Caenorhabditis elegans: one gene and its partners. The protein of the gene in region 1 interacts with the protein of each later gene in a pairwise test. Each region holds a gene or a part of one and is shown on either strand. Other genes may lie near its edges.

The links.
Region 2: the proteins of vab-8 (region 1) and F25E2.3 interact in a two-hybrid assay, tested with the Caenorhabditis elegans proteins (one large-scale study listed by BioGRID).
Region 3: the proteins of vab-8 (region 1) and rei-1 interact in a two-hybrid assay, tested with the Caenorhabditis elegans proteins (one large-scale study listed by BioGRID).

The regions. Positions count from the first base shown.
Region 1 is NC_003283.11:12,209,109-12,220,316, forward strand, and holds the start of vab-8 (Kinesin-like protein vab-8), read left to right. Parts: upstream 1-4,218; 5' UTR 4,219-4,227; coding exon 4,228-4,290; intron 4,291-4,375; coding exon 4,376-4,607; intron 4,608-4,750; coding exon 4,751-4,844; intron 4,845-4,889; coding exon 4,890-5,122; intron 5,123-5,165; coding exon 5,166-5,379; intron 5,380-5,695; exon of another isoform or gene 5,696-5,808; intron 5,809-5,869; exon of another isoform or gene 5,870-6,013; intron 6,014-6,606; coding exon 6,607-6,781; intron 6,782-7,428; coding exon 7,429-7,615; intron 7,616-10,829; coding exon 10,830-10,927; intron 10,928-11,208.
Region 2 is NC_003284.9:807,195-817,846, reverse strand, and holds F25E2.3 (Acyl-CoA thioesterase II), read left to right. Parts: upstream 1-4,729; 5' UTR 4,730-4,746; coding exon 4,747-4,773; intron 4,774-4,816; coding exon 4,817-4,932; intron 4,933-5,188; coding exon 5,189-5,243; intron 5,244-5,320; coding exon 5,321-5,408; intron 5,409-5,454; coding exon 5,455-5,582; intron 5,583-5,630; coding exon 5,631-5,696; intron 5,697-6,000; coding exon 6,001-6,205; intron 6,206-6,247; coding exon 6,248-6,445; intron 6,446-6,493; coding exon 6,494-6,594; 3' UTR 6,595-6,674; downstream 6,675-10,652. Other genes in the region: Intermediate filament protein ifd-2, read left to right, coding at 1,930-2,145, 2,368-2,481, 2,525-2,622, 2,673-2,757, 2,898-3,374, 3,423-3,587, 3,648-3,824; F25E2.2 (Abnormal cell migration protein 18-like fibronectin type I domain-containing protein), read left to right, coding at 7,124-7,283, 7,332-7,451, 7,551-7,667, 7,901-7,977, 8,272-8,359, 8,410-8,529, 8,579-8,794, 9,243-9,545 and 2 more.
Region 3 is NC_003281.10:4,093,283-4,103,182, reverse strand, and holds rei-1 (Guanine nucleotide exchange factor rei-1), read left to right. Parts: upstream 1-4,992; 5' UTR 4,993-5,054; coding exon 5,055-5,173; intron 5,174-5,331; coding exon 5,332-5,715; intron 5,716-5,767; coding exon 5,768-5,867; intron 5,868-5,923; coding exon 5,924-6,055; 3' UTR 6,056-6,280; downstream 6,281-9,900. Other genes in the region: C03C10.7 (uncharacterized protein), read right to left, coding at 6,281-6,437, 6,637-6,746, 6,796-7,016, 7,069-7,138; rnr-2 (Ribonucleoside-diphosphate reductase small chain), read left to right, coding at 8,295-8,348, 8,465-8,821, 8,876-9,231, 9,290-9,668. UniProt on the Caenorhabditis elegans protein: Guanine nucleotide exchange factor for Rab GTPase Rab-11.1. Spatially and temporally regulates the distribution of Rab-11.1 to target membranes during embryogenesis. Plays a role in cytokinesis, probably by targeting rab-11.1 to the cleavage furrows.

The DNA of each region.
Region 1 (11,208 bases):
ATCCCAATCTTTGATAAAATAACACCACGTGTGTTGGCTCTTGATAATTGTGGAATCATTCTTTCAGGAGGGATGAGATTCGACTTCTTTTTACAATAAGATATAAATCAAGACTGGGAGGAGAAGCATGGGTGGGAGGCTGGCAAAATGAATGGAAAACCGAAAAAAAGAGACTTCTCACTTTCTATTTCATCTGTTTAATTTCATTTTGATATCTGTAGGCGTTCTTTTTAATTAGTGAAAAGGTTTTGTATTCCTAGCAAGTTCTCACTTCAGAATTTACAGAAAATGACAATTTAAAATTTTTTGTACTCAACTTTATATACTTATGAACATAAATTCACCAAGTTTCTCACCCCAAAAAATATAACCCTTATAATTTCAAATTTAATTAATATTCATTTGTACACGTGTTTTCACACTATTTGACTACTGTTAGCTCATTGTCATTCTCTTTTCAAAATTTATTCACCTGTACATCAACTAGTATTTGCACTTCCTCCTGGCTTCTTTCGTCATACCGCTCTCCAATTTATTCATCTTCCCGCCGTTCAAAACCTTTTTCGCGTTGACGATGATTTGTGATGAACTGTTTTTTTCTCACCTTTTCTTCAGATGCCATTCTCGGTTTCACACAAATTTTCGTTTTCTTGGCGTCCCTGAAGATCATAATCTCATCCCTTTTTTGTGTGACCACCATGAGCGGGTTGAGGTATCGAATACTAATTAACAGGAAAATGGAAAATAGAGAACTGGCCAGTTTTTCAAAGTTTTTGTTCGCAAGTTATCCGTCAAATTACTATTGGCTTTATATCCTGACATTTTTGAGTTCTGAATTGTTTATTAATACTCAGTTTTCTATTGCTCAAAAGTTTTAGAAAGCATTGCAAATATTTTTCTAGAGCGGCAATGCATAAACCCTGAAAAGTTTCAAATTTAGTATATTACCAAAAGGGAATCATTCCAATGGACGAGCTCCTCACACTATAACTCAATTTTGTTGCCTCACTGCGTTGGTTCGTTTTGAATTCTTGAGTTCCAAATTTAGAGTTCACTATTGAGAAATGTGATTAACCACCACATGGATCATCATCATCATGGTGGTTTCCATCTTTTCCTTATTAGCCACAATCATGCATTGAAACCCAAAACTAACATTATTGTTTCTGTTTGATTATAGACTATTCGCCTTTTCTTCTCTGAATTGACATAAAATTCATCATTTTTAGATCCAAGATTTGCAAGCTCTAATTGTCTAATTCGTTATCTAATTTGTTACTACCCATAAAAATTTTCTGACTACAATCGAATCATTTGATAAGAATCTTAACTGCTGGATCCTTATGCTGCTCAGAATCTCGAAATTACTTGGCACATTAATGCGCCCTCTTAATTTCTATGTCTCTCGATTTCTCGAACTCTTCTCGTAGACTGCGTGACAGTCAATTGGCACATATGTCATGAAATATAGTGATTTTTGACGACGAGAGGAGGGTGGCCACGGGAGGATGCAGGATTAGATGGCTCAGTGTCAAATTACTACATTCAAACCGAAGAGGAAGTCCGAACAAGAGATTAGATGTTTTCAAATATTACTTCGATGTTCACTCTCTATTATTAGAGCACTCTGCGATGTTTTAGACCGTTTTGAAACTGGTATTGCGAAAACTTTCGAAATTGCTCTAAAAGGGCAACTTTCATAATGGAATCTTTTTTTTTAAATTCAAATTTTTGGAAAAAAAACCTAAAGTAAAAAATTATCAAAATTTGAATGAAGTGTAGTAATTGAACAGAAGTTTTAGTTTTCCTTCAAAATTGTTGAACCTCATGAATTTTTTAGATGCCTCATTATGACCGTACATTTTGAATGTTTTAGAGCAATACGACAATTGTCTGAATCTATAATTTTGTTTCCGCAGGTGTTTTGTATTTCTATAACCTATATTTTTAGAGGAACATAATTGCTCATAGAGTTACCCTTTACAATTAGGAAGCACTATAGTATTTGGACCTTCCAATCCTTTTTGCTCATTTCCCTAATCAAGTCTTCGCCCTCCTTCTTCCTCCTCCCACCCATTTTGTGTCCACTCGTTCTTTACTCAAACATTTGTACAATTCCTCCTTTCCCGGGGCAGCTGATTGCGCCATAGTTGTCCTCTCAGTTGTCCCGTGGACACGTCCCACGTCCCGTTTCTCACTCTATTGCATTAAGGGACCATTGGAATTGGGCCAAAAGACATATGTGTCTATCTCTCTTTCTTCAAGACTCCACCCTTCTAAAGAAGATGTGGATAGAAAGAAGAAAAGGAAACCAACTCTTTCTATACATTTTACTCATCTTTTCTATTTTCTTTTCTTTCATGTGTTGCGTAAAGATGAACGGAGACTCCGCCCACTTTTTTCGGTTTTCTTATTTTTAGTGTTGTTGTTGTTTTTGTTGTGTCACTCTTGATATGTGGCTTGTACCTACAGTCTTGTAAGTTATAATCTCAAACTTTGACCTTAAAACTCCAAAAAGTTTCAAAGATTCTACCAGTGACCGGATGTTTGAAAAAAGAAGGAAATGTGCTCAACAGATGTGATCACTTCCTTTGGATTCTCCAGATGACTGAATTTTGTATTTTCTTATGTTTCCATTAGATTTAATTTTTAAAAAATGTATACCTGTTTAGTTTCCCGAACCACGAGAAATAATGCAAAATGATTTTTTCATCTATAAGAGCTCTTGTTTTCCTAGTTTCTGGTCATTTGTTTTAACGGTTTTTTTGCCTGACATGATAGATAAAATTTCATAGTTGTTTATTTGTTTGAAAATATCAATTTTCGCAATGAATAATCTAAAAATTAGTATCTCCTGGAGTATACTTACAGTAATCACTATTTTTCTATGATACCCGTTCCTCACCTGATACATCCAACTGTAGTTTCTGTGTTTTACTCTTTTATTAAATTTTGTTTCAAAAAAATGTGTTGCACTATTTTTCTATTCTTTCCCCTGTTTCACGCCCATCACTCGTCTCAAAAATCTTTTCACTACTTTTCTTCTCAACTCAATTCATTCCTAGGGGAGGTCAAATTACCACTATTCTTTCTTCTCACTTTCAATTTCGATTTGCTTTCTTTTCAGAAAATTACTGATATTTTTGAAAAAAAAATTATGATTATTAGTTTTAGTCTTTTTTAGTTGACAGTTTTTGATAGAATTTTTCATGTTATACATTTCTGTTTTTCGATACCAAAAATGTTTACCTAAACTGTCTAGACTTTTGAATTGGGAAATGTGCAATTCACAGATCGACAATAATTCTTTTATAAATACCAGGCGGTTTGTTCACGTGGTACTTTAATGACTTTTGGAACTTGACCCCGTCCAGGGACATAAAACCAAAACTATATTTAAATATCCAAAAGGCAAGACCTTATAATATTCACTCTACCCATTTGCTTTAATTCAAAAAAAAAAGTTCCCACAATGAATGGGTTTGTACGTATCGTTCATCCCCATCGCCAGGGCGTCAGAGAGTTCTCCATTTTCCGATGCAGTGTTGACTCACTTTTTGGCGGGAAATGGTCTTCTTTTCAAATGTTCCCTTTTTGGTACTTTTTGGTGGAAAACTGATGATATCATTTACTCTATTGTCAGACTGTTTCGTAGAATTTTTATGTTTTTTTTGGTTTCCGGTGGTTTTAAAGAATGTCAATTGCACATACGAAGTAACATTTCAACGAGCTGAAAATTCTTCGCGAAAGAGTAAATTTACTACTTCTTTCAATTTTTCTTTCACTTGTATATCTCATCTTATTGAGTAATTATTTGGAGCGTTGTACTACAGTTTAAGCAGAAAAGAGAAGATTTATAGAGCTTTATCATAATTTTTTGTGTAATCAGTTGTGGTCTGTTTCACAATTTTCAAAAAGTTGGCTCCGTGCCAGCAACACTTTCCGTTTTCCCACATTCCACCTCATTTTACTCAATAGGTGTTCGTCGGTAACATGAAAAGACTCATCTACCTCTTTTGATTATTTATGCAGACACGCTTATATGGGCACACACATACACACTTTGATGATAACGGTTTGTCCGTCTTTTATCAGGACTGACCCTTTCCTCCCTCGCAAATTTTTCCCGCGACATTCTTTTTGCTTTTTCTTTGGTTTTTTCTTTGATTTCCGTTGCCCGTTCCTTCCCGAATTGCGGATTAGAATGAATATTTTCAGACCTTATGAATGGAGGCATGCAGCAGTAAGACCTCGCTGCTTCTTCATTCGCCGTTGCGAACGATTCCGAAAGTAAGCTTTTTGTTGAATTATTTGTTTGCTAATTTTTTGGCAAACATTTCTAGTATTCACAGATTGAGATTAACACATTTTTCAGCTTCGACTATGTGCCAGTATAAGCAGTGAAGATGTTGCACATGGTCGGTGCAGTCTCACTGATCAACACTTGCAAATCGAAGGAAAGAACTATTCGAAAACGACATTTGATCATATCTTTAGAACAGATGCTACACAGGATGATATGTATACGGCATTTCTATCGGATACAATAAATTCAGTATTCGCTGGAAATGATGCAACAGTTTTAGCAATGGGAGCTAAAACTAATGGTGAGTAATTATTTTGGAGAGTAACGTTTTCAAATTTGAAGAACTTATACAATTTTCAATTTTTCCTCCATTTCTAATGGAGATACTATTTACGATTACATTAAGAATGTTTTTGAAACTCATCGAATACTAGAAATGTTCAGGAAAAGACGAACGTCTCTACGGGAACAGCGTTTCAAGAAACGGGTTGGTTCAAATGGCCATCACTCAATTAATGAATGCCCTTGATGATAACAAGTAGGTTTCAATGTTCTATATTTCCATTAAATTTCCTATTTCCAGAGATTCGGAAGAACGAATACAAGTTCGAATGTCTGCAATTATGGTGTCACAAAATGAATCTTCAATAGTCGATTTGTTAAGTCCATTCAATCCAGATCCACGTCACCGAGTGGTTAAAATAGTGGATGATGCTCGAACAGGAGTATTTATCGATAATGAGAGTGAAATTCGTGTCGAGACCATTGATCAGGCATTATTTTATTTGAATACTGCAGTGGATCATCGAATGATTCGTGAGTTGAAACATGATCTAAATGTCTTATACACAAGTTTCAGAAGACGAGCATACCCATCGAACAAGCCACGTGTTCATATCACTAAGCTTGTATTCGTATAAAATGGGTGACAAAATGCAAGGAGGACGTCGTCGACTTTGTTTCTTGGATATGGGAATTGGTGAGAGAAATTCAACAAATGGAGGAATGACAATGCCAGCATTAGGGAGTATTCTTTTGGCAATGGTTCAAAGAAATAAACATATTCCATCAAGGTGAGTATTTTGAAGAAATATTTTTTTAAAAAATTGGTCTGCAAATCAAAAGTGTACCTGGAGAAATCTGGAAATACAGCGTTCATAAAACCCTGAATATTCAATTAAAGTAGGAGGACTCGTGAGAATTTTGTTACAATCTACTCACTTTTATTATTTATTACCAAAAAACACAGTTTTGGTGAATTTTAATTTTTCGAGAAAAGTTTAGAGCAATGTGAGAAACAATTGATTTAAAAATCCTAGAAGTTAATCACCAGTCACTGTTTCATCCCCATATTTAAATGGAGCGTTCTAATTTGGCGTCACGTCTGCCTTGTAGGCACTCAAGTAGTCAATTTTTACTAGCTTCTAGTATAAGGAAGATCCATCAGAGTTTCACACATATTCTGCGGTCCTCCCCCAATTTTGTTCATTATGCCCTCTACTTCATCTCAATCAACCTTCATTTACCGGCGGAAAGATTAAGAGAAGATTGTCTAGTCACCCATTTATTTATTACCACTTTTTATTGAACCAGTTGTCGATGGATCGTTATTTGCGCGCGCGGAAGAAGTAGGAGGTGTGTAGGAGAGGGGCGCCGCGCTCTTCCAACATGGATCCTTCAGGACACATCAAAGAGAAGAGCCGCCCACGAGCCACACGAGGGATTAGATGAATTGGTGTCTTTTTTTATTTCACTGTTGAGAGATGGTACCTCCTGATGTTTTTGGTAGAGACAGGAAGAGGCGGTGAAGTGATGACATTTTCAATGAAAAAAAGAGAAAGCAGGGGAAGGGGAATGATGAATATAAAAATCGGGGGATTGTAAGAGTAATGAGAACAGGAAGGTGGACAATGAAAAAAAAAAACATCTCAATTGTTTTATTGCAAGTAGTTGTAATATTTCAACTCGAAAAGTTTAAATATTCAAAATTTGTCCAACTTTTTGCATAAGAAATGACCAATTAATCAATCCATATGCTTTTGTCGGTGAATCTTGCGTTTCCGGTCACCGCCTTCAAAAGTTGCTTGGGCATGCTCCCTTGGGAACGAAATGAATTTTATTTTTCTTTTGACTATCCTCCTTTTCCTTCTTTTTGAATTCTTCGTACCGAGAGAATAAATAACAAATTGCTGCCGCTTCTGCAGAAATAGAGCAGTGGTTCTTAGGGAATTGAAAGTTTGACAAGTGTTAGAATGTGTCAAAGTAGAAGATGTTAAAATGAAATTTTTCCTTTTTTACAGGGACTCGTCAGTGTGTCAACTCATCCGATGTGCATTGAGTACGTCAAGATTCACGACGTTCGTTTTTTCATTTGGTGCCAAGAGTGACGATAACGAGAACATTGCACATTTGGCTTGTAAAATCGCAAGGACTCGAGCAAAGAGTATGGTTGGACATGGAAGGAAGTCATCAGGGGTGAGTTTGAAAACATCAGTTCAGATAATTTATTACTGCTCGCATAATAAAGGTTTTTGAAAACTATTTTAAATTTAAGAATGGCAATATTTCAAAAATACAACAATTCTGAGAATTTATCCAAAAGCTTGACATTTGACAACTGTTTGCCAACTTACCGAAAATTTCACTGCAAATTTCAAAAGTATACAAGTTTTTGGAACATTGTATTCTTTCGTATTTTGAAGAAAATATTCCTACTACTAGTTAAATATTCTTACAATATTCCTACATTTTATTTTCTCTCACGGCACTCTCAAAAAATTCCTAGCGCTCAGTATTTGATCTGGTTGAATTTGGGGAAGTACTGTGCAAAGATATTTTTTTAATAGAAAACTACGATTTTGTAGGCTACTTTTTATCATTCTTTGACCTTTTTCCTCGGTCTCACTTTACGGTAAAATCCGGTCCACCTCTAGCATAACCTAAATATTAATATCGCTGCCGCAAACATAATACCATAATCGAAATTTGATCCTCTTTGTATGAATTCTTGTATATTGTATATTTACAAAGAAAAAACAACCGGCACTTCTTCCGCATTTTTTCTTCATTTTTAACATTCAGATATTTTTTTTTATTTAAAAAAATTGAAATTCTAATTTCAGACAATGTCAACTGGAACAATGGAATCAAATTCTTCATCATGTGGAACAACTACAATCACACCGGGAGGCACTCCTAGAACACAACGAAGATTTGAATTAGAATCCGGATCAGAGCTAAGTGCAGCTGAAACTGTGATATTCTTGGGTCCGAATTCCTCAAGAACAGCATCACCAGCTTCCACAACAAGTGAGTTTGAAAAAATCTTCGGGATGTGGGTAAAGAAGATTAATCGACTGAGATCTGATTTACGAGCCGCCCGCATTTTTTTTACGCTCGTTCGCATCGATATCTTCTCCCATCATTATCATCGTTAGTTTACGGAAGCCACCACTTCAAGGAATATAGTTTTCTTTTTTCAAGATTTTTGAAAATTTCGCGGCCAGTTTCACATTTGGGATTTTTCTTAACACTTGTACATTAAAATTAATTAAAATGTTTTTGTTAAACGATTTTTTAAGCACTATACCCCCGCGTTTAAGATTTTTCATATATATTGATGTCTATATAACCCATTTCTGATAATAGATGTTTGATAATTTAAGTATTTTTACGAAATAACCAAAATTGAAAGTATATCACAAGCAAGCAGAAGACCGATTTAATGTATTCATTATTTCAGATATATTTTCGATTGTTTTGGAATTTCTGAAAATAAGGTCACATGTTTTTGATTAAGTGCGAAAATCCTACCTTCTAACTTAAATATTTACACCGACATGGTGCTAATTGTTCGGTTTCTTTGGCATTTGTTTAATTACTGGTTAATCAAGTATTTTAGATTTGTAAGTAGTTTCTCATAGGTTTAACCAAGGGCCACTGAAAAATAAAAAAAAAGTGACACGAGGAAACCATGATCAATCATTTCTCATTTCTCAGTTCTTCTTGTTTCTCGGTGAGAAGCTCTTGGCGTGGAGCAAGAAGACACCCGGTTGTCACATATTTTTGTTACCCTCTTTCATTTCATTCGACATTGTTTCCGTTTTTCTTTAGAAGAAACATTTTAATTAAGGTTTTGAGGTTATTTGGACAGTTTTTTGAATAATTTAAGTGGTGGTACGCTTTTTTACAAACCCTGTAGTCATTTTTTTACAAACCCTGTAGTCATTTTATTTACAAACCCTGTAGTCATTTTGTTTTAAATTGCGGTCGGTCATAATACTCAGCCATAGTAGTAATGATGTAAGCTAGAAAAAACTACGAGCATAAAATTTTTTCAACATATTTTGTCAGTTAACAAACTTTTGATAAATCCAAAGATAGTATAAGCTGCCAACATTGATGATATGCAAGACTATTATAGGAAATACAATATATACTAACTGAAATATCCACAACTCAATCAATATATGTACAGTGGTTGCCAAAAGTATATGCGTTTTTGGTTTTTTGCTAATTCTTCATAATTTTCAAATGAGTATAACTCACAAACTAAGCACTTTGGAGAGAAAAGTTTAACTGATAAACTGTTGCTTAGAATCTTGTCTTCATGTTAACACATGATCCAACATTTCAAAAAATTCAGGTCAAGAGATACAGCGGGAGACACCTCGCGAGTCCATTTTTGGCTATTTCTCTTGAAACGCCTGTAGCTCGAGAATGAGAAGTTTTCATGAGAAAAGTTTTAGTAATAAAATAATATGCAAATATTTCTCTATCACATGCATATAGTCGTTTTTTAATCGAACAACCGGCAGAATAGAGCTGTAAGTTTAAACACGCGCTTCTCAAAGCACCGATTTGACCAACTGTTTAAAAACCAGGACATGTTTTTCAAAAATATATTTCTGTTTATATATTTTGACTAACTAATTGTATAGTTGAATTTTATTTACATTTCAACTAAAAAGCAAGTATTAGAAAAATTTAACCACCATTTTTACAAATTGTTCCCGACGAGTGCTGGTACTCCGCGTGTTTATACTTACAGTTCTATTCTACAGATTGTTTGATTGAAAAACAACTAACTGCATGTGATAGAAAAATATTTGCAGATTATATATATATATAATCTATTTTATATTATATTTTATTTATTTTTTTTTAAAAGATTTTTATTACTAAAACTTCTCATTCTCGAGCTACAGGCGTTTCAAGAGAAAAAGCCAAAAATGGACTCGCGAGGTATCGCCCGCTGTATCTCTTGACCTGAATTTTTTGAAATGTTTGTTTATGTGTTAACATGAAGACAAGATTCTAAACAACAGTTTATCAGTTAAACTTTTCTCTCCAAAGTGCTTAGTTTGTGAGTTATACTCATTTGAAAATTATGAAGAATTTGCAAAAAACCAAAAACGCATATACTTTTGGCAACCACTGTATGTACATATCTATTTGCTATGTACTTTCTATAAAACGCATCAAGCATCGACATTATTTGAAAATACAAATCTGTGACATGAGATTCGACCTGATGACTTGTTTTTGCTTTACTCCATAAGTTTTTTCTCTGAAGTAACACGTGATCCCTATTCCAATTCAATAAATCTATCAGATTTACAATAAGCAGTTCCATGTGTTCCAAATTCTCTCGTCCCGTTCTAAAAACCAAGAACTCGGTCGCCCCGCCATCCTACTCGTGCAATTCGAAAGCTATAAAAACAGAGTATTGGCTGTTAAAGTTAGATCAAGTAGTAGCAATAGTAGTACTCGATAGCTAGATCGAACACAACATAACCATAAAATTGGCCGCCGCTGTCTTCTTTCAATCAGATGCTCAAAGAGATTGCCTGCTAGATATTGAGATACGATAGAGACCAAGGAAAATTGGCGGTAAATCGTTCAAGGAGGTCGGCCCTTCCCCCTTTTTTCTCTTGATTGTAAACATTCTGGCCACCTAAAAGGTCCGGTGCACAGACGCCTCCCAGCCAACCCCTCATAAAACACCTCTCTCCCGGCTCATCTCTGCTCGGCAGATTAGAGAGTTGCGCGAGAAGAACGGTATTAGACTGTCGGCTGCCTTTTTTTATTCGCACTTTCCCAATACTTTCTGGTTTAATACTATGTTGCTTTTTGAGAGGTCACACTCTCACTTCATACAAGGTAATTTGATTTATTTCTTCGAATTTTCGTGTTTTTGAAATGAATTTAAATCTTACTTTGAATCTAATTTTCAAACACTCTTACGTTTTTTCTAAAATTTAGATTCCTATGACTTAAAGTTAAATTTAACCAAGTTTCAATGTTACTTTGATTAGAAATAAATGGAAAACAATTTTCGGGTATTCACGAGTTTAATATTCGAATGCAAATCAAAAAGTTTTTTATAAATATTCAAAACATTATTTTTGGGCCTGAAATTCAACTGCATTTTTCTTCTTCAAAAATCAAAATATACTCATGTTCCAAAAAAAGCTTTCAAACTAACGTGATCCTATTTCTTCGATAAATACATAATTTTCAGTGCCATTTACACCTACATCGATACGACCTCTTCATCGAACGACACGAAATCACAGCGGAGTCGAGGCGTTGAGCAAGCCGTTGAGTGTTGAGACAAAGGTATGTATTTTAAAATTATTTTTCAAAGACCTGCTTTAAATTAAATTAATTATGTAAGACCTCATTTCCCTATAAGTGTTAAAATCGATACATTTTTGTGTTGTGGTACTAGAGAACCACTAAAAGCCAATATGGTCAGTTGTTCAAGCTTTTGTTTGTCGGTAGCTCTTTGATTCAAATGATACATTTCTATGTCAACAATCCCGTTGGCCATTGTTTCTATATAAAGTGCCTTGGACCATCCTCTTACAATCCTTCCTGTGTTCACATGAAGCGGAAGA
Region 2 (10,652 bases), on another chromosome or scaffold:
CTTAAATTACAGACAGAGAACTTATAATTTTCAATAGAGAAAAAAACAGACTTTCAGCGATCGGAACTCACACCAGCTACTCAACTACGCCTTTTTTGGTAAATCTTCTACAATAAGAGCCGAAGGTTCAAAAACGTAGTAAGCGTTTATTGAGTGAATAATACAGATATTACACAAAACTTATGACAACTTGCTTACAATTTGTGGAAAACAGTAAACTTCATCGGAGCAGACGCGCGAGACAACTTTTTGACAATGGTTTTTGTGATGTTGCTACCAGATAGCGCCGGTTCCGAATAGAAACGTTTATCTAAATTTTAATTAATTTGATCTTAAATTTAAGTTTACGAGCTTACCGTTGTTAAGAACTCCCAAAGCTTGATTCATCGCTTTCATTTGATGACTGAAGCCACAATCAAACGAGAAAGAGCTCATCTTTTTTGTAGAAGAATTAAGTGGCGGAAAATGATCAATTGGCACTTGGAAAATCATTTTTCTTGAAAATGTTGAAGAATAAAAGAATATAAAATTCTGCAGATTAATATTCTTCTATTCTTAGCCCATCTTTAATACTGGAATTTGGAACGAGTTTTGAAAAAATTTGACGGAACAGTGATGTAACTTGCCATAAGGACATAAGAAACGTCGTTAAACCATTCAAATAAATTGGATACGGTAATGGTCAATGCGAATCTGGGCGATTTTTGGAAACTCGATCAAAGATGATGAATTCAGGTTTTTGGGGCGTATAACATCAGCGTCAATTTCAGCAAAAATAAAATTATAAGGATTTGCGAAAATCATGAGTTTTGAATTTCAGATCATGTATAATGTCTGAGTAAAAACTTTTCACTTTGGCAGGAATGTTTCCAGGCAGCATAGTAATCAAGTTTACCATGCCACTCCTAAAACTCAAGCATATGCCGAATGTGAGCGGCCATTTCTTAACTCTGTTTATGTCGGCTGCATATGTGTTACTGAAGTATGTTATGGTTATGTATTCGAAGGCCGAACAAGGAGAGAAGACGAGTAGTTTATTACATTACTAAATTAAGGAATGATTAAGTTAGTTCATAGAGTTCACGTTGCACGATCTTCTTAGCCACGTCGTGGGTCAATACACGTTGATACCCAACAGTTATGACGTCATCAAAAAGGTCTCTGCGAGCACTTCACTTGGCAACTCATCAATCCTACATTACTTCAGTCAACTTATTGGCAAATTAATCAAAATCAAAAAAGGACGTGAGAATGAAAAGAAGATCTCCGAGAATCGCGGGAATTTAGACACAGACTTCTCAACTGATTTTGCATGGTTAAGAACGTGCTGACGTTACTTTTTCTGTGAAAAAAATTAGCGCATTGTTTGTAGATCAAACCGTAATGGGACAGTCTGACACCAAGTGCCCCACCTTGATCTCCCGAACTATAGCCGGCCCAATTGGCCATTTCATTTATTTGTTTAAATCATAATTTTCACGTTTCTTCCTCTTTCCGGTGTAACTCTTATCTTGACAAATAAGCATTAATATTATTTATCAAAAACACAAAACTAATACAAATTTCTTCCGTTTCTTCCTTAGTCATCAAGCTATTTTCTAACCCCCACGCCATGTCATTATGGAAAATGTCAATTTCCATAAGAATTTGAGCAGTTTTATGATTCACCTATTTTGTACGTTACAAGGCACATTCCAAATGAGCTAGCCTGCGTGATAAGTGATAAGGAGGCGGTTGATAACGCCCCGTTTTACCATTTTAAGTGTTTCAGACCGTTAATGTCGCTATACAACTATTATTTATTTAGATAATAGTGATTGGAACGGCTCAGTTTTTCTCATTTTTTAGTTTCAGTGTTTTATATTCAAATTAAAAATATTCAAGTTTTGTTTTTTTTTATTCAAAACTAATTTCTAGAATAAAAACGCCATGACTGACCCTCTCAACCCAACGCGTCTGCAAAATCATCCCGCTCTTGCAAGAATTATTGAAAGCGGGCGGACAAATTTGCCAACCGGAATAACTACCAGTGGAGCACTTTCTGCATATGCTCAAAATGCGGCTGCTATCATCAGAGACAATCGTGAAAGGGAGAAGGTTGAAATTGCAGATTTGAATAACCGATTGGCACGATATGTAGAGAAGGTTAGTTGAATTTTACTAGATTTTGAAACTGTGTAAGTGATAGGTTTATAATCATTGTTGTCCAAATAATTTTGGTATGGAGTGCGCCAAGTTTTTTAAATTTATTTTTATAATTAAATAAATTAATCCGGAAAACCTGAATAAAGTATCAAGTGCACACTGAGCCTTTACCAAAATATTAAATATTGTATAATATTCTGTTTGAACAAAACTATTTTTCAGGTGCGCTTCCTTGAAGCACAAAATCGAGTTCTTGAAAACGACATTGGTGTTTTCCGTAATGCAGCACACACACATTCGGAACGAATTGCTGTCTATTTTGAATCCGAAAAAGCCGTAAGTAATCATTTTTCTATTAAGCTTTAACTTTAAATTGCAGTCGCTTTTCACTTTGGTCCGTGAAAACAAAGCTAAGATCTCGACGGCTGAGCAAAATATCAGAAAACTGGAGCCAGATGTGATTTCTGCAAAGAAAAAGTTAGTTTTTTGTAAATTTACTATACAACTAGTTGTACATATAATTTCAGTTTGGAAAGCTCTTTCCAGCTGAGAGTTCAAACAAGAGAAGACAAAAGAAGTCAAATGAAAATTTTGTCAAACCTGGAGGCAGAGGTTAGTAGACACAATTTGTGTAAAATTAATACAAAAAATTATTTTTTTGACCTAGCAATAGTTCTGGTGCAACAGTAAAATTTCCATTTTTCAAATTGTTTTTTTGAGTTCTCCGATTTCTCAAATCCAACAATTTACAGAATTCTTACATCAAACGTCTCACAACTGACTGTGAAGAAGAAAAAAGCCGTGTCCACTCTGAAATTTCGCGTCTCCGAAGTGATATCAAACGAGTGCATGCACTGCGAGACAAAGAACGCAGCAAGCACTCAAGTTCGTCTCAAGAGTTATTGAAGCGTCTTAACGGGTGCATTTCACAACACGACATTGCCATTCGAGAGGAAATTAGCAAGGCTAGACGTGACACAACAAACAAGAACAGGGACTATTTCCACAATGAGCTGCACGCGGCGATGAAAGAGATTCGAGACCGATTCGAGAAGGATTCACGTGCCGCCAGAAAGACATGGGAGGATTGGTATCACAAAAAGATCACGGAAATCAAGAAGGGATCCGAAAGCTATAGCTCAATACAAAACCAGGCAAGAGAAGAGATTCTTCGAATTAGGTCGATTGTCAACGAGTTCCGAGGAAAGCTTTCAGATTCTGAAACTATCGTGAGTTTGGGAGTTTGGGATCATTTGTTGAAACGTTATTGAATTCAGAATCAACAACTTATCAAACGAATCGACGACTTGCACTTCCAAGACAAGGAAAATCTAAGATTGTTCGAAATTGCACTCAATGAAAAAGAAAATCTAGTAATTAAAATGAGAGAGGAATGCACAAAACTTTCAGTGGAACTTGACAAATTAGTAGAGAACCAGATCGTATGTTCAAAATTTAAAGTTTTAAATTCACAAATTTGTAAATTCCTTAATAATTTCCAGAACTTGCGAAACGAAATCAACCATTACCGCAAACTAATGGAAAACGCTGAGCACCTCCGTACCACAGTTCAAACCCACGTGACCTATAATGCTCCACCGCCACCCTTGCCACAGTCAGGCCCTAGAACAACTTCCTACCACGCCTATGGTTCGGCATACAACGATTCCTTATTGTAACAACTTCGATTGTCATGTTTTTGTTAATTTTGAGTATTGTAATTTCACAATTTCAAACCACCCATGTTCAAATGTACGGCTTGAACTTGCAAAAGTTTGAAGAATTTATTTTTCTCAATTTTCATGTTATTTATATGTTTTATGAATTAACGAATAAAATGTTTTATTTTACTTTCTATGTAACCATTAATCGGATGAAGGTGGGGTGTTCAGTTTACCAATGTAGATCAAAAATAATTCAAAAAAATTTTTTTTGGTACTCTTTCCCTTTTTGTTTCTGAAACCTGATTATGAAGAAGATGTAGGCTTGATGATGGTTGAAAAAAGTGACGTCACTGGGGCAGGGTTTTCTACACTTTTTTCGAAACGCAAAAGCCTTTTTAGTTGTTCTTTATATAGCAGCTCTGGTGTTTTTTTTTTCTAGCAGGCGTATGTGATTTGAAGTTCCTCTTTGATCACTTTGAAATGTAATAATGTACTGATAAACTGTACACGTGAGGTCTTATGTATTTTGTTTGTTTGGCCACACTATACTAGGCAACAAAATTCCAGTTTCCGCTTTTTCTGACTATAAATCATTGGTTGGCAACTCAATATGCATTTTCTGCATTTCTGAAATTATTATAAATGCAATTTCTCAAAAAAAAAAACGGTTTTTTTATATTTTTAAATTTTGAAGTTTTGAACAGTATGAATTCTGAATTTAGTAGCAAATGCATTTTAAACTGTTCAAATTATTAGATATCACTTCCTGTTCTAGTTTTTTTTCAAAGTCTCATTTAGCCTACACTGTTGCGTCGTTATTGTTTTGTTCGTCATCTCCACTCAATGATTTTCTCCCCAAACTTCTGCGTCTCTCAAAACATGTTTTCGCGTACACAGTTGAAAATTTGAACTATTATTTTCAATTTTCAGATTGATCATGGCAAAACCGAAAGCACCAACCGAGGTATGTTAGGGTTTGTTTCAATTGCAATTTGAAAGATTTTTAGGGAACTCCTTTGTGCAACGTGGAGCATATCGAGTTTGAGTCAAGAGCAAATGATATAAAAGCAGGGCTCATTGATACTTTTCTGAATCTACAGAGAATCGATACCAATCTGTACATGTAAGTGTTGGAAAAATGATGTATTTTCAAATTTTGCTCAACAACATTTTGATTGGTGCTCGGAGACAGCTCAAACATTTTTCGGAACAGTCACTACAAAAATATCCTTAAAAGTGTAAAAAGTGTTCAGGCATGTGCATTATTAATAAAGTCTTTGACTCTGCTTATAATATATTTTTGAATGATGTGACATCACACGTCGCACAATTCCTGACTCGATCATCACAAAACATGAGAACATTAGATTTTCTTGCAGCGCTCGCCACTTGTTGAAGGGTCGTCATTCCTACAATGCCGTTTATGGCGGTCAGGTAAGAAAACTCAAATTTTCAATATAAACTTCCAAATCCTATATATCAGTTCCCACCGATCATCCTCAAATATTTAGGTTGTTGGTCAATCGTTGGCGGCAGCAGCTGCCACCGTGGAAGATTGTTTCATACCTCACTCATTACATAGCTATTTCATCAAGACGGGTCAGTTGATAACAGAAGACGGCAACTGTTGTGTTGTGTGTTTCAGGGAGTGTGGACAAACCGATTCTTTACATGATCGACCGCATTCGAGACGGAAGAAGTTTTTGTACGCGAGTGGTGAAGGCTGTGCAGGATGGAGAGGCAATTTTTTCTTGCCAAATTAGTTTCCATCATGTATGCTGGGGAAATGGAACAGAGAATAAAAAAAGAGATACTTTTCAGAAAGAACCCGATGCAATTAAACATAGCTCCAAAATGCCGGAAGTAACACCTCCAGAACAATTGCTTGTAGGTTGCTTCAAAACAATCAAGTTTTTCCATGCAGGCACCAAAACGCCTGCCACGCGCTTTCTGTATAGTGCCGCGACGGAAGAACCACCTTTGGCACTATTTGGTGCAAACATGAAGCCTTTGATTGTTCGCCATGGCGTAAAAATAAGGCGAGAGGCCGGCGTGAGGCGGGCAGGTTAGAGGCAGGCGTCACGTCCTGAAAACAGGCCCACCTCCCATGGAAGCTTGAAATATAACTAAAAAATATAATAACATTACACTGCAATTCTAGGTTTACTTTCCATTATTATATATTTTCCAGCCAGCTCGAGAAGCAGCGCTGGAAGTGCTCCGCACGAAAGAAGTCGATGAAGTCACCGCTGGTGTCATCCAACATTTTTTGAAAGAAATTCCAGATGCTTTTGAGCGAGTTTTTGATGTTCGCCCGGTCAACCCAGCCAAGTACTTGCTTAAAGAAGATACTGAGCCAATGTCGATGATTTGGATTCGAGCAAGAGAGAATTTGGGTTAGAAGTTCAAAATAATTCGTTTTCAATACTATGATTCAGGAGATGATCACCGTCTCCATCAGTGCGTCGCTGCTTACCTCACCGACTTGAGCATGCTCACCACGGCAGTACGACCTCATATCAGAAACGGATTCATCCCTTCAATGTCTTTTTCCCTGGATCATTGTATTTGGATGCATGAAAATGAGTTTCGAATCGATGATTGGATGCTGTATGAGACAATTAGCTCAAAAGCTGGTATAAAATTCTGTAAAATATTTTTTAAGAAATGGCGTTAAATTCTAGGTGGAAGTCGTGCATTTATTGAAGGCCGTTTATGGTCTCGTGATGGTCGACTTATCATTTCGACTGCTCAAGAAGCACTTGTCAGAGCTCCAAAAGTTTGACAATATTTGAATATTTTGTTTGGTTGTGTATATATATTCAATTTTGATAACTATAAAATGAATAAATGTTTAGAATTTTGAAAAGTAAGTACCAAGTTACTTAACAATAAATTAGTACCATCACCAGAAAGCCTGCATCTAAGATTCGAAGCTTTCAAGAAATCCGCGTTAGCGTAGTAAAACAATTTAGGAAAAAAAATACTAGCAGAAAACTGTTTCCCTAGTTTGAGAAGTTTCAGGACTGTGGTCTCGTTATGGTCTATTTATTGTCATTAAAAAATAAACATTTGTCATATAATTGAGCTCTATGAGCTCCCCATTTTGTTTTTTTAAATAAAGCCCGATCAATAATAAATGTACCAGAGATGTATTTGATACTCGCAGAGACATGTCCGATCGGTTGATAAATCGTTCTCCCTAAATTCCCCCACATCTCTGTTCCCCTCATGTTTTTTTGCATTCTTTACTGCACTTTTTGACATCCCTCACCCATCCCAGCTCCCCAAATTTTCATTCCTGTCTTTTCGACATGAACATCGTTACTTTCCTACTTTTCGGAATATTTCCACTTTCAGCTGCAATTTCTCCAATTAACCTGGAGAATTGTAATCCGGGAAGTTATTTTGTGGAAAACTATATCAAGTACCAATGCTATCAAAGTGGAAGTGTAAAGGGTTACAATATTGCTGGTGGGTTTTGAATTAGAAAATTAAAAAGAAAAAAAAATAAATTTTTAGGATGCCAACCATCGAATGATCTCACCGGTGTCACTTTGCAACAGTGGGAGACCCACAACGAAAAATGGTTCAAGTATCACTGTGTAATTGATGGAACTAATGCTCAGTACTCTGTGAAGAGTAAGTCAGGAGATTTTTGTTTGTTAGTCATGTACCCCTGTTTAAAATTTTGGCTAACTGGTAATCTAATACACAAAACGCAGTTACATAACTTTGCAGCCTGCCTCGACCCCGTAGGAGAAGTTCTACCAGTCGGAAAAACCCGCTCGTTCCCAGATGGAGAAACATTTACATGCTTCATAGAACGCAACAAGGTCAAGCTGAATCACCAAACAAGTGAGCAATACATGATTTATCATGCGATTGTGCCAGCTAACTATGTCATCGTTCGACCAAATGGTGATGTTGAAATCTAATGCATCCATCTGTTGTAATTTTTCAATTATTCCCATTGTATGATCCCTAATAATCTTTTTTATCACTACATATATGGCAAACTTTTGTAATTGTTTAATTTTTAACAATGAAGATGAATTATCAGATTTGTAAAATTGTTCTCAACATTTCAGCTGCTGGATGTCAAGTCGGCGATCAAGTTTATGGAGATAGAGCTACATGGATTGATAGACGAGAAGATGTTATCATTGTGAGTGAATGTCAAAAATCTATTTAGTTGTATTTCTTCTAACAGTTTCAAATTATGTTTTTTAGCGCATATGTTGATTCAATGTTTTGATATGCGTAAGTGAATACTAAGGATAGGTAAAGATGTAAACAACCGGTACAAAATATTTGGTAGTAACACTTTGGGGTAGATTCAAAGACAATTGGCGTGTAAGCTATTAACTTTGATCAACTGGATTTTGGATCAAACGTGATTCAAGTTCTTCATAATTTTTTTTGCAAATTTGATCCAGTTTCCAAATTCCATTTAACTCAGATTGGCTCAGAGAACAAAGTTGTTGGAAAGGGATCTACCATGCAATGCAAAAAATCGGAAAATGGCTCATTTGTTGTAGAAGTTGCAGGTTGCACTTAAAAAGATACGTATTAACCAACTTTACAACTTTAATTCCAGCCTGCTTAACTGCAGAGAACACATACATTCGACCAGAAGATTTCGGAACTGTAGACGATGCAGTTGTCAAATGTGCAATGGTTGAGGGGAAGTGTGTGCTGAGAAAAGCTGAAGTCACTGGTAAATCGTAAATGAAAATTTACAACTTTTGTTACGGTTTTTCTATTAGAACTCGGATGCAGACACAATGGAAAAGTATACAGGCACAATGAGGAATGGAACTCGGAAGATGGTGCCACGGTTTATGCATGCCAATTCGGGAAAGTGGAGAAAGAAGGATGCCTTGTTGGAAATTACCTTATTCCATTGTATGCAATTCGCTACGTTGATGGAAACGCTTTTTATTGTTTTCAAGGAACACAAGTTCGATCATTCGGAGATTTGAGTGAGTTTGCATAACATATTTAGTAGGGTATTCGGGTTATCGCACAAGAAAAAAACATAAATTATGTTGTAAGGTGACATATTAATGTGCATAGTCATAAGGAAATTAATAAAAAAAATACCAATGAGCTACCGACCGTTTTGTGGCTAGGCATAGAGGCTAAAATGCTACACACAAGAACTCACCCTACACTGCACAAGCGGGGTAGACATATCACATAGAACAGACTATATACAGGTTGGAACTCGATAATGATTTTATGTCGGTAATCACTTTAAAACGTGGTTATTTTCTGTATTTTTATTTCAATACAAATACATTTCGCTTTATACGACGTTGGTTTTATGAATCTAACTATATTGAAAAATAGGAAATTTCATTAAAAGAATCTACCGAGTTATTGAAAATGATTGGTAATAATTATAAAACCAAAATCTTTAACTTTGAGAGGGCTGCACAACAACATCCGGCGATATCATCCAATTTGAAAATCGTGCTAGAAACGGAGACCGCCTGGAATCCTGTGGGTTTAGCATTAATCGAGATGGAACTGTCGAGTTTAAGTGGACACAAGTCGGGTGTATTTATTCAAAGGAAATGATAACGGTAAATGCAATTCAACAATTTGGAGACCAATACGTGCATTGTGCTTTGAATGGAACTGCTGGGTATATCGTAAAAATGATGACAAGAGAAGAAGTGGAGAAGTGGTTGACAGCGACTAAACAGCAGTGGAGCAATATTGTTTCAGGTATTTTATGAGATGAAATTGTTATTTTAGAGCCAGAAAAAAGTTTAGAATTTATAATTGATTGGTGTCCGAATTTTGGAAGTTTTCACTGTAGATCCAAAATAAATTTTTTTGGAAAAAAGTGACATAGCTTACCTGATTCTAATGAGTTTTTTCAGTGGGATTATTTTTGGTCTAACATGTACTACTCTTAATCTCGGACATCGATAGTGTTTTTTGGTAGAGCAGTGTAAGTGTCCCTTGTAAAGTTTTTGAAAAAAAAAACATTATTCATTCATGCGCACAAAAATGATTATCAAAAAAACTTCCACCGGCAAATATTCAGGGAAAGATGGAAAGGGAAATTCTGTAAAACGAGAAGTTCCAACAACACCTCTACCTACAACTACCACCACTACTACCACAACTCCTAAGCCAACAACCACTACAACAACCACTACAACTCCAGCACCAACTACTACTCAAAAACCAACTACTACCACAACTACCCCAGCCCCAACTACAACCAGCACTACTTCAATTCCAACTACCATTGCAACGACAACTGCTGCTCCTTTGAAGAAGTGCACCGATTTTGTGGAAGATTGTGACAAGTTAAGAATCTATTGCCATACGGAGGCAGAAAATGCAAAGTTTTTGAAAGAAGCAGTGAAGAAGTTCTCGACGAATCCGAAAAATAGATCGAGAATGTTGGAATTCATAGATCATGTTTTGTAAGTTCTTTCAACAAAAAACTGTTAACAATAGCATTTCCAATTTGGTTTTGGTAAGAAAAGGAAGTAGTCAAAATTTTTTGTAATTAACCGTTTTGCAAAAGAATAACATCCGATCAAAAACGATTTGAATTTTTTTTTCAAGATAAATTTAAATAATTTCAGCTTGGAAGAACAAGAACCTGCACACCAGAAAGAACAAAACAAAGAACAGGATTGCCCAATAAACTCGAAATCTTGTGAAAAGTGCTCTCACTCCAAGTGTGAAAAATGTGCAAAACACCCTCATCACCATTGTAAATGTGAAGATCAGAAAGAGTTTAATAGAAAAATTGTGAGAGCGTTGTGCCCAAAAACGTGCGATATTTGCAACGAAACACGTAAGTTTATTTTT
Region 3 (9,900 bases), on another chromosome or scaffold:
AGAAGCTGCCTGTGATTAAGACGTTATCTGAAATCCAAGTCGTCATGGTCTATCAACTCAGTAAAACTACTTTTTTGAGAAAATATATTCGTTAAATGTGTTTTTCGTTCCAAAATGTTATTTTCCTAGTTAGCAAGCATTCATAATTTTCCTCAGAAATGCCAAATTTTCGTGGAATTTGCAGATAACAAAAGGGCATTCTCATCTATAGACTTCTAGGTAAAAATTCCATCAGTTTGAATTGTGTCTGAGTCGTCTCTCAACCGCCCTTCCCATTGCCTTCTCTGCGCCCTGAATATATATTTTTTGAACCATTTTCAACTTGGAAATTTTATGCAAAATAAAGTAATGATTCAGTGGAAAGAAATTTCTCAGCTGCTGCGACAAAAAGTTGGCAATATTTTAATTTAGACACTTTTTATCACCCCGCTTTAAATTTCCTTCTGCAAAATTAATACAAACTTCAAAATTCCGAGGAAAAATATGTTTTTGTCGATTTCAGGAATAATGGTAGGTGTGAACGAATTGTGATCAATTCAAATTTTTCGACTGTAAAGTTAAAAAATTTAATAAAACATTTTGCATCATATGAACGGTTTTAAATAATTTTCCCTCGAAGTTCTAGACCATAGCCTCTCAAAATCATTTGAATTTGGATTAAAAAAAACTGTCACATGAATCACAAGACAGTTGGAAATTGGCTCCCACCTGAATTTGTTTCTGTTTTTTTTTCAAATCCATTCTTGTTCAAAACGTTTCATTTCAAATTCCAATGACTTCTGACCAATATTTTTTTAATATAAAACCGCATACATTATTTCGTATTTCCATTCAATTCACCAAATGACGTAACATGTCAGTTCTCTCACTTTCAGCTTTAAATAATCTCTGTTTAAGATCTACAATTCTGAATTTATAGTCTCGAGAAAACCATTCTTTTCTCTTCATCTCTTTCCGTCGGATTCTTATCTTCTATGCGATTGTTGATGTTACACTAAAAATTTCTCACTTTGTCTAACTTTGGTAGTTTCAGATTTTTAATCTTCTAGTTTTTTTGGGTTCTTACCTTACTCGGTTTTTTGAATTTTTGAAATAGTTTTTTTTGAATTCAAATTTATTGGCTGGTCTTGAAAAAGAAGTTCCAAACTTAAACAAGCACACCTTATATTTGGTGAGTCCCGCCATGTAAAAGTTTTTCAGAACGAAATACACACAGAGCATACTTTCCAAATAATCTGTCTGGTCAAATAATTTATGGAATTTTTTTGGTACTAATTTCAATTAAAGTTATATAAATTTAAACTTTTTATCGTACGAAAATCTATAAAATTCAATAAAAGATCGGTTAAATTTTTAAAAATATTCATTTGGTTCCAGTTTTTTTTTTGAGATTTTCTGGAATTTTTCAAATAAATTTTTCAGAACAATTGCGACCATTGAAAGTATAAAAACGTCGCAAAAAAGTACTAGATATGCGAAAAAAAAAAGAATCATGTATCAAAAATCGGCAATTAAAAAAAACTTTATGAACTCATATCATAATATACCTAACTTAACTTGACTTATTAGAATTTTCCAAATCTTGTTTTAAACTTCTTAGAAACTAGAATTATTTTTGATTCTTTGAAAATCGTAACCTAACCTCCTATTTTCATTTGAATGAAACAATGTTCAAAATTGATCTAATAACGATATTTTCATGAAACAGAAAACATCATCAAAAAATATAAATATGAATCATTATTCATTTTTAAAAGCTTCCCCATCACATGACAGTACTTGAACATTGAAACATTGTTGTTTTCCGGTCTTCACGTTTCTTTTCTCGTATTTAACAAACCCCACTTCTCCTCCAATGAATGTGTGATTGTGAACCCAACAAAGTGTCTCGAAACAAAATCCCATTTCTTCCGAAACTTTGTCATTTACAATTCCTCGAATCCTGTTGTGTATCCTTCTCAAGACTTTTTGTTTCTCTCGAATCTCTTGTCTAATCCTATCCCTCAGCCTCCTGTCCTTTGACGGATTAGGAGACTTCAAAAAGAAAATTTGTGGTTTTTTTTTTGTTTCGGTTTGCTTTTCTATTGGTTCGATCGAAATACCTTGTGCTGCCATTCCAACTAGTTTGTTTTGTTGGCTTTTCAAATTGATGAAGATTTTGAAAGAGAGATAGAGAAAAGTAAACTCTTTACTTTGAAGATTCGAGGTTCATTTCACACAATTGATCACTCGAAACTATTTTAATCAGTTTCCAATTATTTTAGGTTTTTCCACAGAACAAGGCTGTGAACGTAGGCACCTACACGCCTACCTTTAGGCCTGCGTACCTCTCTATAATGAATTCCTATCTCAATAGTTCTAAAGTTTGAACAGTATATGATACTTTTATTTATAACTTTAAAGATTATCTCGTAGGTTCTTTGGTTTCTTGCAGAAAAAAAACTCGATTTTATTTCGCTGACACAATTTATCATTTTATCGTTATCCTTTGCCACTTACATATGTTAACAACGACGAAACACATCACACGAATTTTATTGTTGCGCAATTTTTTAGTTGAATCACAGAATTATTAGAAAAATTGAATCATAATAGTTTAGCGTTTTTAATATCAAAAATTGCACCTCAAATCGGGAACTTGAGTTACCACAATTTCTTGTGTACTGGCGGAGAGAGGAGGATAAAGGATACAGGCAGCAGAGCCTAAGCTCAAGCCAAAGCCCAACAAGCCTGCGCGTAATCATAAGCCAAAGCCTTAGCCTAAGCATAATCTAAGATTAAGCCTAAGCCTAATCCTAAGCTTCGGCCTACGCCTAAGCCTAAGCCTATGACGAATAGTCAAAAGTATCAAGTTTTTCAGATTATTTGGAACATATGTAATTGAACATGTGATTGGAAAAGTCCAAGACGAGAACACATCCATCACCTCCCCACTCATCCTACCCCAATTTTCTAAAATCACATGGAACCTGTTATCAGAGTTTGTTTGACTTCTCTCGTTTATACGGAACTGAAATATTTTTTATGAAAAGTGTGATCACATGTCCGACGACACCCACTAAAAATTTGACAACTTCGTACTTTCTTCTCCTTTGAAATCATCAATTTCTCCTGGTCATAGGGAAAAGAGATAGAGAGAGAGAGAAAGATAGAAAAGAGAAAATAGATCAGTATCTGTCTATTTCTCTAATTTTCTCACTTATTCTTCATCGGAAGAAGAAGAAGATGAAAAAGACAACGTCATCCACAACCTGTCGTCCCCCACACACCCCTACGACCACAAAAACTGTCCCCGTTTTTTCGACACCTCCCTGATGTTTTTCCCGCAAATCCTATTAAAGCTCACGCGCCTAGACTTCTTCAGATAGCACTCATAAAAGCTATTATTCGCTATTTGTCAAGTAAAATTGCCACATTGGCTCCTGTCACGAATGAAAATTTTCCGCTACCGTACCCTTTATTTTTTGTTGTAATTTTCAATTCTTTTGATATTCTTGATGTAAAAATTATATTTTTTATCGAAATCCCGTCAAATATGCTTGGAAAAAACGAAATTTCAAGAAAATCATCATCTACCGTACTCATGGGTACTGTAGCTGAAAAGTTTCACTCGCGTCGAGACCCGGAAGCATCATTTTGCTTTGAAATTTGCGCGTTTTTCCGATTTTCGATTCAATTATTAGATGAATTGAAAACTATCAGCGAAATCGTTTTATCATTTGACAAAACCTGAAAATTTTCTAAAAATGTTTTTTGTCAGACTGAAGAAAAATTATTTTTAGATTAAAGGATTAAAGGATTAAAGGACGATCGGTTCTTCAAGTGCTATGCACTGCGGATCTGGGATTCAGGTACACTGCCTGGTGGTGATCCTCTGGGCTGTAATTTTAAGCCACGTCCTAGCCGGGGACTGTGGCCGATAATCCAGTCGTGGATTGCTCCACTTCCCAATAGACATTCTCTTATTTTAAAAATAGAAATGTTGCAATTAATCGGAATTTTGCAGTTGAGGGGTATCGCCCCAAAAAAATTTTAAAAAAATATGTTTCAAAAAAGTACTTCTTGAGGACTGAGGCGACTCAACTCTTCCCCCACCTTCCACCAATTTTGCTCATATAACAGTCCACAATTGTGTGCCCCTCAATATATTTCCCCTTCGGTATAATTGGCCCATTTGCCCTCCACAATCTATTCACACTGTCCATCCCGACCGTCCGTCTCTGTTTCTCTCTTCTCCGTCGTCCCCCACACTTTTCCTACCCCCGCTTGTCGTTTGCACGGCCTTCAAACCCAAAAAACCGATGAAAACCGTATCTGAAATAGTTCTACTCTCCGTTTCCTCGTTTTCTTTGTTCTAGAATGGTTTCAAGTTCGAAATTCTCAAAAAATTATGAGGTTCGAATATTACCCAGACGCAAAATTTTGAGATTTTTGCCCTGAAAATACGGTACCTGGCCGCGAAAAGGCAATTTCTGAGATTTACAAACGGGGGTGCGCCTTTAAAGGATACTGTAATTTAAAGCTTTCGTTGCTCTCTGATCAGATTTTAATTGATTTTTCATAGTTGATCTCACAATTTATTAAATCGAATAATTTTGAATTTTATTATCTTAATTATTAATAAAGTAATATTATTTAATAAGTAAATTTATTTTCAACCAAAAACTATGAAAAATCAATGAATACTGAAATTACAGTACTCTTTAAAGGCGCACACCCATTTGTTTTCAACAAAAATGTCATGTCGAGGGCCATTTTTGCAGCTGATTTTTGCTATTAACCCTGAACAACTAAAATTGAGAAAATTGTCCAAATTTCATTCATTTTAGCCATTTTTGTAAGTCGAATTGATAATTTCTGAAAAACTCCCGCCATTAATTTCAAATTACGATCTGCAAACACCATCACGTAAAAATGCACAGTTTTGCCTCACGTTAAAATTTGCAAATTTAATTTTAAAAAATTTATTTTCTCATCTTTTCTCCTCATATTCTCTTCATTTCTAGTAATTTTCGTTCGAACAATTCGATTTCAGAATCAATAAAACATTAAAAATGACGGAAGGGGACGATCAATTAATATCGATTCGCAAACAACTTGAAAATTTAAATAATGCAACAGATGACATCAACAGTTATGAGATGAAGTTGGAAACTGTCAAGAAACAGTTTTGGTGAGTTTTAATTCATTTTTTATTTTAAAATAATTGCTTAATCGCTACACGTCTAAAACTGGAAACCTTTTATTGCACTAGTCATTCTTAACCAATTAATTCGCAAAAAATCGTACCAAATCTGGTTTTGATGCTAAAATAATCTTATATATTTTCAGTGAAACCCAACTAATGTTCAACAAAGAAATGCTTGGAATCCCTAAAAAGTTGGCCAAACACATATCAAAATCCCGTCAATTTTTCGATTTGAAAAGCCGCGAATCGGAAATCAGAAGATGTGTTCAACAAGCGGCAGCTCAATTTGAACGACAAAAAACTTCAGTTGAAATGGCAAGAGAACAAGTGCAAATACTGCATAATTCATTGAATAACAATCAAGAATTGGATGCAGAGAAACAATATGTTGATGTGATTGAGCAACAGTTGGAATTGGTTAAAGAAGCTGAGGGAGAATGTTTAAAAGCTGAAAAGTGTCATGCATCACGTGTCAGGGATTTGTTACAGTTGGAAATGGCTTTAAGGAAATGTTTAGAGGAAAATGGGTGAGTTTCAGGCATCAGGCAATTTTCTGACAATATATTTTCCGAATTTCAGATCTGCCATCAAAAAATCCCGGCCCTATTACGAACGAAAAGAAGTTCTGACGCGAACAATGAATTCTCAACTTGAGTTAATGTCAATTTTGGAGCATGAAGTAAGAACTAATAAGAATAAAACTGTATATAGATTAAAATAATTTTTAATTTCCAGGTACAAGAACGAAAAGACAGCTACAGTGATTCGATGCGAGCTTTAGAGCAGATCAGCGATCAAATTCATCAGGAGCGTTCCTCGCAAAGCAGTTTGGCTCCTTCGAGTGATGCAGAATCCGACAGCTCTTGATACTCTGAGCCACACCCTTTCTTCTCAATTTTCCACGTGTAATATTAGATTTTTCACGAAGTTTCGAAATCTCGATCTCACTTGTACTCACGTTCCACACCCAATCAACTTCACCAAAAATGTATTTTTACGGGTTTCAATCCCCTTTCTCTTTGCTCCTCATTTTCTCTATGTATCTCTTTATTTTGTGTTCGTCTGGTGCTTAATAACAATTTTCTTGAAACATTAAAAATTGTGATAATGAGAAGACGATGAAGTGCCCACAAAAGCATCTACGTGTGCACACGCTGCACTTCTTGTCGGAGCACTGGATTTATCAAGCAATCGTGAAGCCAATGTGCATAGCTCACAAAGAGTGGATGCCCTTGTCGCTGGTGGCAATCTGAGGGTGAAATAGATTGTTGAAAAATTGTAATTTTTTGAAATTTTGAGACGTTAAAAAAAATCGAAATTTCGTTGACTTGCAACTTGCGCGTCATATATAGTGTCAAGTACGCATACACCGCGACGGTAGAATGCACAAAATTGTCAATTTCAAAATTTTCATGATTTTTCTTTTATTTAACAATTCAATTTCTCACCTGCTAACCGAAGCGGGTCTTCTTTCTTCTGGAATAATTGGAATTTCTTCATCAGAATCCCATTTAAAATACTGAAAATTGTTCACACGCCGGCCAAGCTTTGGAATGCTCTAAAAATATTTGTGTCATATTATTGTTTCACTTAATTGAAGAGATTACAGGCATTTCTATATCATTCCGATTATTGCTCAATTCCCTAATAACCAACAATTCATGAGTTTCTCTACGAATTTCTTCATCTCTCTTCCTCTGTTCCTTCGCTTTTTCCTCTTCTTCAATACGACGTTTTACCTCTTTCTTCGCCTCTTCCCGCTTCTCATTTCTTCTAATCAGTTCTTCAATTTCACTTGATTGTTGTGGTTTAGGTGGCTTGAGTGGTTCTGGGAGAATTTTCAGGCACCTATGACAATATTTCTCAGACTCTAAACCTACTTGGCTTCCTTAAATGCGGACGTAGATCATCCTCGGACAGAGTTACAGAAAATCGACGATCTGACGCCATAATTTGATGTAAAGTAAAAATGGAGAAGCTTTTTTGTCTGGTTTGCTGGTTTCCAATGGAAACTCTCCGTACATTTTTCAATAAAACGTGGATCTAAAGCTACTAGGCAACCACCAAAATATTGTAGAATTTGAATTTCCGCCATAATTGGTTGGTCTCATCACGATATTCATCCAAATTTATGGCCCAAAACCTAAAGATAGTTTTCCAGTATTTCAATAGGCTTCGTTCCCGTCAAAAATAAGTTTTTCGAGAAAATACAAAATATTTTGTTGCGAAACTATAGTTAGGAGGTTATATTCTTTACCGTTTTTCCGCCAGACACTAAATCTTTATCAGTCGGACAATATTCATCAGACCTGTAAATTTTCTCTGTGTCTCCGTCATTTCTTTCAAAACGCGCGCCAAAATTTGAATTCGAACAATTGGCGCGAAACCTCTATTGCGCCCGCTGATTTCGTTCATTCACTCATTTCATTTCTCATTCGCTTCGTCTTGTGTGCACTGGAAGTGCACTCATTTGTCTTTTTCTTGTTAAATCTTTTCAATCACCATTTTTAATTAAATAACTTTAGGTTTTTGAAATTGAATAGCTGCTTTCCGGCTTTTCAACACATTTATAGATTCTTTTTCAATATATAAATTGAATGTTTTTCCAACAAAAAAAAATCGTTCGGTCACTCCATTGGTCACTTTTTTATCAGTAAGCCTCGCAAAAACAATATATTTTTGATAAGGAATTCATTCAAAATTCAGTGCAAGAGCCCTATTCTAATTTCTCACCCATTTATTTGCATCATCTGCTCCCATCATTGACCATGCCTACGTCACAATTGACCTCCTGCCGGCATACGATTTTCCGTGCAAAACTGAACACAGGACCGTCTGTGACGTCAGCATTTCCCGCCCTTCACCCATAGTTCACCATGACGTCAAAAGCTCCGCCTTCGTTAAAACCTTTGGTGCTGGTCATTCCTTGTCTCAGTCTGTCACAGTCGCCGGTCCTAGGTGGTGACTTGTGTGACCTGAATAGTGTTCAGCTGGCCATTTTTAATGTTTCCTCTTCTCTATCAATTGTTTTCTTCATTTGCACACTATTTTCATTTTATTTTAAACTTTTCAGGATCGCAAGCACTATCCGCGTATATCTACTAAAATGACCCTCACCGAGATTCAGAATGTCGAGAAGGAGAACGCAGGAGCATCAGTGGTAAGTATTTAGTGTAAAGTCCGCGAAGAGGCGCGAAATCTGGTGCTTTTGCACAAAATGTGCACAATTCTACGACTTTTCCAGTATACTCATTACGTATGCCTTCGAATTTACAGCCGAAACACTCATCGAACAAGCTGAAGTTGGAGAAAGAACTGGAGAAATTGGAGATTGTCGATCAGACCAAGGCTGCTTCAGCTGAGGAAACAAATAATGAGTCGGAGGTGAATGAGCTGGATGCCGACGAGCCGATGCTTCAAGATTTGGATAATCGATTCGTCATCTTCCCACTGAAACATCATGACATCTGGAACTTCTACAAAAAGGCAGTTGCATCATTCTGGACAGTCGAAGAAGTCGATCTTGGAAAGGATATGAACGATTGGGAGAAGATGAATGGTGACGAGCAATACTTCATTTCTCGGATCCTTGCCTTCTTTGCCGCATCGGACGGAATTGTCAATGAGAACTTGGTATGTTTTATTTGATATCTCAATAATGATTCAAATTAACGATTAAATTTTCAGTGCGAACGATTCTCGAACGAAGTTCAAGTCTCAGAAGCACGGTTTTTCTACGGATTCCAGATTGCCATTGAGAACATTCATTCAGAGATGTACTCGAAGCTGATTGAGACTTATATTCGTGATGAGACGGAACGAAACACTCTTTTCAACGCCGTTGATGAGTTCGAGTTCATCAAGAAGAAGGCTGACTGGGCTCTTCGCTGGATTTCGGACAAGAAGGCTTCGTTCGCTGAAAGACTCATTGCTTTCGCAGCTGTTGAGGGAATCTTCTTCAGTGGATCATTCGCTTCGATCTTCTGGCTGAAGAAGCGTGGATTGATGCCAGGATTGACACATTCCAATGAGCTCATCTCGAGGTAATTATTATTATTACGAGATTTAAATAATTTTAATGTAATTTGATAATTTTTGCAGAGACGAAGGACTTCATCGTGATTTCGCCTGTCTTCTCTACTCAAAGCTTCAAAAGAAACTCACTCAACAACGCATCTACGATATCATCAAGGACGCTGTGGCCATCGAACAAGAATTCCTGACTGAGGCACTTCCAGTTGACATGATTGGCATGAACTGTCGTCTTATGTCACAGTACATCGAGTTTGTCGCCGATCATTTGCTCGTCGAGCTCGGTTGTGACAAGCTTTACAAGTCGAAGAATCCATTCGACTTCATGGAGAATATCTCGATCGACGGAAAGACTAACTTCTTCGAGAAGCGGGTTTCCGAGTATCAACGTCCTGGAGTGATGGTGAATGAAGCCGAGAGACAGTTCGATCTTGAGGCTGACTTCTAAAGAAAATATTTCCAAATTTCTATTTCTAACCTCATGTTTTCCTTCCTTTCATGTTTTTCAACCTCACCCCATTTCTCACATTCACTTTGTTTCTGTTACGATCTCGTGTAATTGATCGAAAGCACTTGTACCAATTTCTATGAATCGCTTATCTTGACTGAAAAGATGTTTGAAACTTTTTATCATTAAAAATGAAAAATTGTGATTTCACTTCATTCATAATTCATTCAGA